2 linked regions of the Drosophila melanogaster genome follow. Changing the gene in region 1 together with any one later gene gives a genetic interaction. Each region holds a gene or a part of one and is shown on either strand. Other genes may lie near its edges. The genes, in order: mirr and fng.

What was found.
Region 2: of mirr (region 1) and fng, changing one suppresses a phenotype caused by changing the other (phenotypic suppression), as found in Drosophila melanogaster (one study listed by BioGRID).

The regions. Positions count from the first base shown.
Region 1 is NT_037436.4:12,691,575-12,695,496, reverse strand, and holds the start of mirr (mirror), read right to left. Parts: upstream 1,859-3,922; 5' UTR 1,186-1,858; coding exon 1,144-1,185; intron 1-1,143.
Region 2 is NT_037436.4:20,947,907-20,951,828, reverse strand, and holds the start of fng (fringe), read left to right. Parts: upstream 1-2,316; 5' UTR 2,317-2,527; coding exon 2,528-2,659; intron 2,660-3,922. UniProt on the Drosophila melanogaster protein: Glycosyltransferase involved in the elongation of O-linked ligands to activate Notch signaling. Possesses fucose-specific beta-1,3-N-acetylglucosaminyltransferase activity; extends the O-linked fucose on the Notch EGF repeats.

The sequences.
Region 1 (3,922 bases):
CTCCTTGGTTAACTTCTCCACTTCTTGAGGCTTGGGGCTGTGGGCTTTGGGGCTCCAGGGGCTCCGGGGCTTCGGGGCTTCGGGGCTTGGAGCCGCTCTTCCCGTTTAACATTTTACAAATGATCCGAGGCGTAAGATACGATTTTTATCGCAGGCCGGCGGTCACAGTGCTGCATGTTGTATCATCGGTCGTGATTGATACCGCCACAATGTTGTCGCTGATGTTGCTGTTGCAGTTGGGATTCGGTTCGGTGTTGCGTCTCGTGCTTTCATCAAGTGACAACTCAAGTGGCCCTATGCGATTAAAAATTAATTCCCGGTGTTTGCCGGATGGCTGGATGGATCCACAATACACTCGTACGATTTCTTATCAATGCGGCTCTTTGAATCAACCGCCGATGATTATCGACTATCTATGGCTACAGGCTATAACTATAACACAACAAATATCTCAACTCGAAGTGGTCGTTTTGCGGCTAAAGTAAATTATTTTCGGGTAGCCATTATGATGGCGAGGGTAGAGTGACAGCCATTCATGTTTGTTTAAAGAGCATTTAATATTTCCGATATTCCGTTTCAGCTTTCGACTTTGCGCCACAAGTTGCTTTTACATACATATATGAAAATATATGAATATGCTCGAGTGTCGAGTGCAAGCGATTAAATTTTTGGAACAGGGATACCATATTAACTGGGGATCGTGTTACCACTGAGGGATTATTATGGCTAAAATCCTATTGGACACTCAAGTGTGACTGAGCACGATGTGCGGTGACCTTGCCAGCTTGGTTAACAACCAAAGAGACATTGATGCATAAGAGAGATTTTCCGAATTGGCAGACGGTTTTTCGCGTGTTGTTCGCCCAATGTAGCACACTTGTGGTCCTGACATTTTCAATCTGTTTTATTTTTAAATCCATGTCTTCCGTTTGCCAAATCAAAATGCTAAGGTATTCGAACCCAGAGTAATCCCACTGTTTCTGCTTTTATCTACATGTGTTGCACTGATTTGCCTCGTAGCTGAACGGGTTTTCAATCTAATTGCCACTATCCAAATGCCAGACAAGCTAAAATGCAGCGATTAACTGAACCATCTTACAAGTAATAAAAAATGGGGGAAAAAAAACAAATTGATATACGCACCATTACTAAACAGATACCGGTTTCATTACTGTGCACTGTCATTTAATATTAATTTTTGCTTTTAACTAAAACTATAAAGCAAATCTTAGAGTTACGATGCACCGATGGACTCGCGCACTGAACCGACGTATGTGTATTTAGATAGATTTATAATCCGAGTGAAGTGATTGTGATTGTGCGATCTGTGATCTTGTGATTGATCCGAACTAGTTTTTATGTTGATTTTGGATCCGGCTTGCGAGCTATTTCAGTGTTTACTTTCTTTGGGCTGTGTTTATTTTTTTTTGTTATTCGTTTCGTTGCACTGCGTTGCACTTGCCGACGGCTGCAAGGAGCTGGCCAACTCGAGTTAGCTGGCCAACACAGGCGCTACTGGGCACCGTAAATCCGTAAAATCCGACGGGCGGCTCGACGGGAATCGTTTATGTGAGTCGTTTAAATTTGTAGAATTGGTAGAATCGGTATTCGGGAGGAGCAGCTCTATCCGGAGGATGCGAAAACGAAGCACGAATGAACCAGAGGCGGCGGCAGCAAATAGTAGTATCTGGGTGTGAATCTGATTCTGTTTCTGAATCTGGGTACTGAATTTGAATCCAGCTCGCAGAACGACGGCGAGCGGCGGGCAGAGAGCACTATTATTCACACTGCGGCACTGGCACTGCGGCGGACACGAACGATACGAACAATCTGCGTAACAGTCAAAAGTAGACTAACATGAGTTTCTTGAGCAACTACAAAGTGTACGACAAATGGGAATTACACGACAACCGACAATCGAAAAACAGCGCAGCGCAACAACAAGAACAGGCCCACGCACCACCACATCGATACATAGCCCGCGCCGCGTTTGTATGTGTGAGCGAGAGAGCGCACAAACGGGTTTCTCCCCTTAATTTTTACTCGCACCTTCGCTGGTGTGCGTGCGCTCTCTTTGCTCTTTTTGAGAGCGGCCAAGTATCTGTGCGCTGGTGTGCGTGCGAAAAGTATCTGTGTGCGCTGGAAAAAGTAGCAAACGAGGCGGCACGACGACAACACGAACGGCAACAACGGCAATAATGATTATCATTATAAGTGGGCTGGCGCTCCGGCTGTGTGTGGCACTCAGGGGATTGGGATTGGAATCGGCATCGGAATCGGTATGCTACGGTAGATACCCCTCAACCCCCTACCGAAACGTAGCCACCAATCTCGCTGCAAGTGCGAGCGAGACGCAGCAAACCAGTTGGTTAGGTGGAGGGGTGGGGGCAACAAAAAAAGTATCTACCGCCTGTGTGACCATAAATAAAGTATCTGCCAGCTGCGGCCGGGCGAGAGCGGGATGGCTATAGCCGCTGCGCCGTTGGCCACGAATCGCAACCAAGCGGCAGCGACAGCGGTAGTATCGCAACTTGCTCGCGTTGGCTGTCGTCTTGCTGGCGTGCGAGCGAGATGGCATAGCAGCAGCAGCAGCAGCAGCGGCGACAAGAAGCAGCAGCAGCAGCAGCAACACCGAGAGCGGCAGAACATGAAAAAATTAACTTAACAACTAGAAAAATGGCTGTTATTGCGTGTTGTTGTAAATGCCGATGTATGTATTTGTAGGCGATGTTGTTGCTGTTGTTGTCGGCGATGATGTTGCTGCTGTTGTTGCTGCTGCTGTTGCTGTTGCAACGCTGCTACTTGCTGCTGCTGCCGCAGTTGCTGTTGCTGCTGCTGCTGCTGCCGTGGGTGTTGCTACGTGTAGTTGTTGCCATAAACAACGCAACAACAACAACAACAACAAGACGAATGTCGCGACGTATGAAAGCAAAGTGTTTACGCTCGCTTCTCGCTTTTCGCCGTTGATGAAAAAAGAAAAGCCTGATGAACATGAACGACGAGACTCGTGAAGAGGTTGGGCCAAACGCGATGGGTAATGTTTTATCATCCGCCTCTGCCGCAGTCGCTGCTACGGCCGTTCCCCTCCAGAAACCCCCTCCTCCCCCATTACCCCATCCCTTTGGCAACCAACCCCCTGCACCGCCCCTCTTGACCGCTTTGGCTCTTTGGCTGGATTGGTGGCATCTTTCGCGCTGCTCCAACAAAAAAAGAAAAAAAAAAAATCAGAAGAAAAAACGAGAAGAACAAAAATCGCCACCGCAGCTGCCGTCGCTGCTTTTGCTGCTACAACATACGCTCTTACATTTTATTATGTAGGTATTTGTTTTTTGTTTTTTGTTTTTTGTATTTTCGTACTTCGCTTCTCGTTTTTGCCGTGGCGTTTCTTTAACTTTTTCTAATTAATTGAAACGCCACTCGAGAGGAGTGACGGCAGCTGCTAGAGCGGGATGGCGTCTATGTGCTACATATGTATCTGAGTGCTGAGCACATTTGAAAGCTACTTTGTCGTTCCTGGCAATCGGTGGTTATCCCTGCTCCTGCCCCTGCCACTGCATCTGCCACACCCACCGCACATCTACCGCCCCCACCTGAGCTGTGTGTCGCACACGCAGTAAACAAATTCTTACAACATTTAAATGAAGTCACCATCGCCGAGCAGCAGCTTTATCCTTTTCCATTGCTCCGACATTAACGATTAGTTTCTCGATAGTCATTTATTTGGGCGGTTTTCCTTTCCATGGGGAAAAGTTTTCATGAAAATTAATGGATTGATAGTGCCAGAATAAATGTTTAACCAACCACTGTAATAAGGTCACTAACATGGGGTTACGAGTGTATTTTTCTGAAATTTCACATTTGTCTTGAATGACTTTAATACTTTCAACCGAAAAATATGTCTTAAAATTTCCCAAATTATTAA
Region 2 (3,922 bases), 8.3 Mb from region 1:
GTGTGCCAGCCGAGCGAAATTTTATCTGGATGCCCAGCCGATCAGTTGAGAAGCTAGAGCTAGGCTACACTGAAAAAAAGTGATTTCAAATTATTTTTAAAGGTGAAACCATTTCAGAAAACATTTTTGTTGTGCTGCAAGCTGCATGCGAAGTTGTATGGTATTTTCAAAAGTGTTATTGAACAATTATTTTTTAATTTTTATGGAGATCTTAAAATGGTTTGGGATGTGTAAGTCCGAGTTGAGCACTGAGTCCGTGGCAACGCCTTCGGTTTACATTTTACAATCCTAACAAGGTTAGGCCGCCCGATAAACGGAGCTGCACTCGTTTGGTTATAAGGCTAGGTTGTGATCTGGGCTTTTCAGCTGAAGTTGCAGTTGAAGATGCAGTTGAAGTTGCAGCCGAAGTTGGAGGCTGGGGATCGGAACTTGGAACAGGCAGCTTGCAGCTGGAGGTGGCACATGCCTAACCGGCAACCAAGCTGCTATGCAAACACACACACACACACACACTTATACGGAGCGGAATGGTGGCCATGGCTACGAACTGTACATACGGAATTGCACATTAAAAATGAGCAATGGGAGTGGGCGGAATACGGAGGAATGGGAAGTGGGTTCCGAGGGTTTCGTGGCAAGCGGGCGGCTGATTCCAGCCGAGCGATGTCTTTTTCTGTGGCAGAACAAGGTTGGAATGGCCTGCGTCGCCGCTACCACCGTCTCTGCACCGGTAGAAAAATCATACTGACATAATAATAAACTAATAAAAATAATTAAAACACTGTGAAGGCCAATTGATTTTGCTTGCTCATTTGGGTACACACAATGGCCACTTAAGTTAAACAGTTTTAAAGCCCCTGGGTAATTGTCGATGGTTCTAAATTTATGCTAAGCTTTTGTATTTAAAGGGCTCAGTCTTAAATAATCTAAAACATTAAACTATTAAGGGTTGGATAGATTTTTCAGCTGACACAAGGCGATAAAAGTTTACATTTTTATGCTGTTCTCTTACCGAATTAAATACGAATTCACTATTTTCTTGCAGTGCTCCGCCGACTCTGCTTAATGCAATTCAGGCGAAAGGCGCACAAAGGGACAGCGAACAAGATGCCGAGTTGCTGATTGTGCGGGCAGCGCAGTCGACGCGGGCAGAGGTGTCCGCAAAAGCTTTTGTCGCCGCCACAAACATGGAATATGACAAGCTGGTGAGGAGTAGGATGGGATTCGGATTGGGATGGAATGGGATCGAGCTGAATGGGCTGAGAGCAGCAAGAGGAGGAGGAACGGGAAGATACTGCTGGATGGTGCCTGGCATGCAAAGCATTGTCAAGTGGGGAGCAGGCCAAGTGCTACACAAAAACCGAGCGACAAAGAAACGTCGCAGAACGCTGCCGACGCACGTGAGATGTGGATGCATTTGATGCACGGAGCGAGAAAGGGATGTAGAAATTAGTAGTTTGAAATTATTGTAAAAGAATTCTTCTGTTTGTATTTTTTAGTTAAATTAATTACTTATCCATAAATACACTGTCTAACTATTTCTAAGCCACTTAAAGGTATAATATAATCTGAAAAGACCTCTCTATTTGAAATAAAATTTCAATGGTAAATAGAGGAGCGGCTCTTGAATGTTTAAATAAAGTTTAATGCTTGCACTTTTTGTTCCAAGTGCATGATTTAAGAGTGTGTAGGCTTCCCTGTGTGGGCAGGGTAGGGAAGCCAGGCGAAAGAGCGATGGAGAGAGCGAGAGACAATGGCGACAATAAAAATGCGATCGCACAACATGCTCCACAGATAAGTTAACGCAAAGTGACAACGTACAACTTTTAATGGAATTGTCGTCGCCGACGGTGGGCGGTGGGGCGTGGCAGGGTAGTCAGGAGGGGAGTGGGGGTATATATGACATAGCCAAGAAGTCACCGCATTTGGAGCGCTGCCAAGTCAGTTGAACTATGTTTACTTTAAGGATACGGCCGCCACCTGGAAAAGGGACCTTCAAAGGCTGCCTTACACGATTCCGAATCCCCGATTCCGATCAGAAGTGGGCTGAGTGGGGGTCGACACACGAGCACATGAAAATTGCCTTCGGCAGCTACTGTGGCACAAGCTAAAGAGAGAGGATGAGAGCGAGCGCGATCGAAGAGAGAGCGCCAGCTGCTCCCATTGGAGCAGCTAACGTTTCCAATTGGACCAGCTCAAAGGGAATTCTCTCTCTCTCTTTCTCTCTCGCTACTCTCACCGCTTACTGGTCTTTCTGGTTTTTGTTTTGTTTACGATTTTCGCTGGAAGAAGAGAAGAGTAGATCGCGCTACCACAATCAGTTGCTTTTCAAGCTTGCCACAAGCAAGACGTCAGTGCGCGCGTGCTGCGATATCGAAATCGAAATAAACTTAAAAGATATCGTAATTTCAGAAATCGAGCAGAATTCATACGATCCAGGAAAAGAACCAGCTAATATTGGAATATAAAACCTACCCAGTGATCAAATCGGCGGTGCTTCAATGTGCGCGTAGTGGTCCGTAACCGTATGATGAGCCTGACTGTGCTCTCGCCACCGCAACGTTTTAAGCGAATCCTGCAAGCCATGATGTTAGCCGTCGCCGTCGTCTATATGACCCTACTGCTCTACCAGAGCGCCTACGGATATCCGGGCATCCAAGTGAGTTGCGAGTTCGAGTGGGCGACATAATCCAGCTTGCGTGGGTGTTGTTAGCGCTGCGAAACTGTCAAACGTGTGTGCTCCGCACTGATCTGCATAAGTTGCAAAGCTGCAAAGGCCAGGCAATTTGCATTATCCCCCTTTGATTCCGATCCCGATCGACGTCGACTCGTGCACTTTCATAAATCAACGCCGGCGACTTGAGTTTTGCAGCTGCGGCTTTGGCCGTTAAAAAAACCTTTTACGCCCTTGCCTTGCATATAAAACAGTTTCGGTGCTTGGCTTTTTGCGCTTTTATACCCTAATAGGGGGTATCATAATTGAACACAAATTTCGGCGAGGAAGCGTTTTAAAAGGATATACCCTACGATTGGTGATTGGATGGGGATCGGTATCACGGGGAATTCATTTGGAACTAAGGACTTGATTGCTTTAGAAATTGTGCAGAAGTTTATGTAGAGGTAGTGCCTAGCTTAGTGGTTTGTTTCAAAAATGGAAATATGATCCTGAATTTATTTGTTTTTTTTTTTTACAATTAAGCTTATATTTGATTGATTTAAGGACAAGAGAATGTAATTCTGTTAAAGTTGATGTTCAAAGATCGGCTCGCATTATCGAGACATTATTAAAATCCTAAAATCATACCATTAGGCACTTGGAATATATTTTTGAAAATCACCAATACTTTCCAATTCCCACAAGAGTATTCCCAGTTTCGATTACCGAAGATCCAGTCAACCGTTCCTGAATTTCTTGGTTTGCCGTCGGCAGAGCGTCGCCAAAGCTTTCAGTTGCCTGATTCCAGGGCCTGTCAGGGTTCTGAGCCCTGTCTGCTCTGCCCATTTATTATTGTTCTCTTCTTACTCTTGATTTTTGCATAAATTTTTGTGTAATAAAATATTGTGTGCTAATATTACCAAGGTGTGCGCTGCGAGGGGGGATCTCATGGAGGTGAATCTCAATGGACTCGTCCAGTGGAAAACCTTGTCAGTTGCATCACAGATAACAAATAGTTGAGGTCCGTGGGAATGGCCTTAGTTAGCCTCCTATTGCATTGCAAACACTTTTTGGCAGGGTTTTATGCGAACAGGCTATTTTTAGAACCCTTGAAATTCGAACTATGTGTCCACCTTCTAGGATTATCATATTTTAAAAACTTTAAATGAAACGACGCCATAAGAAAATAGTGCACATATTTTTAATCAGTTGCATATACAGATTCCTCAAAGTTTTCTTCCAACATTTCTTTATATAGTTCGATTT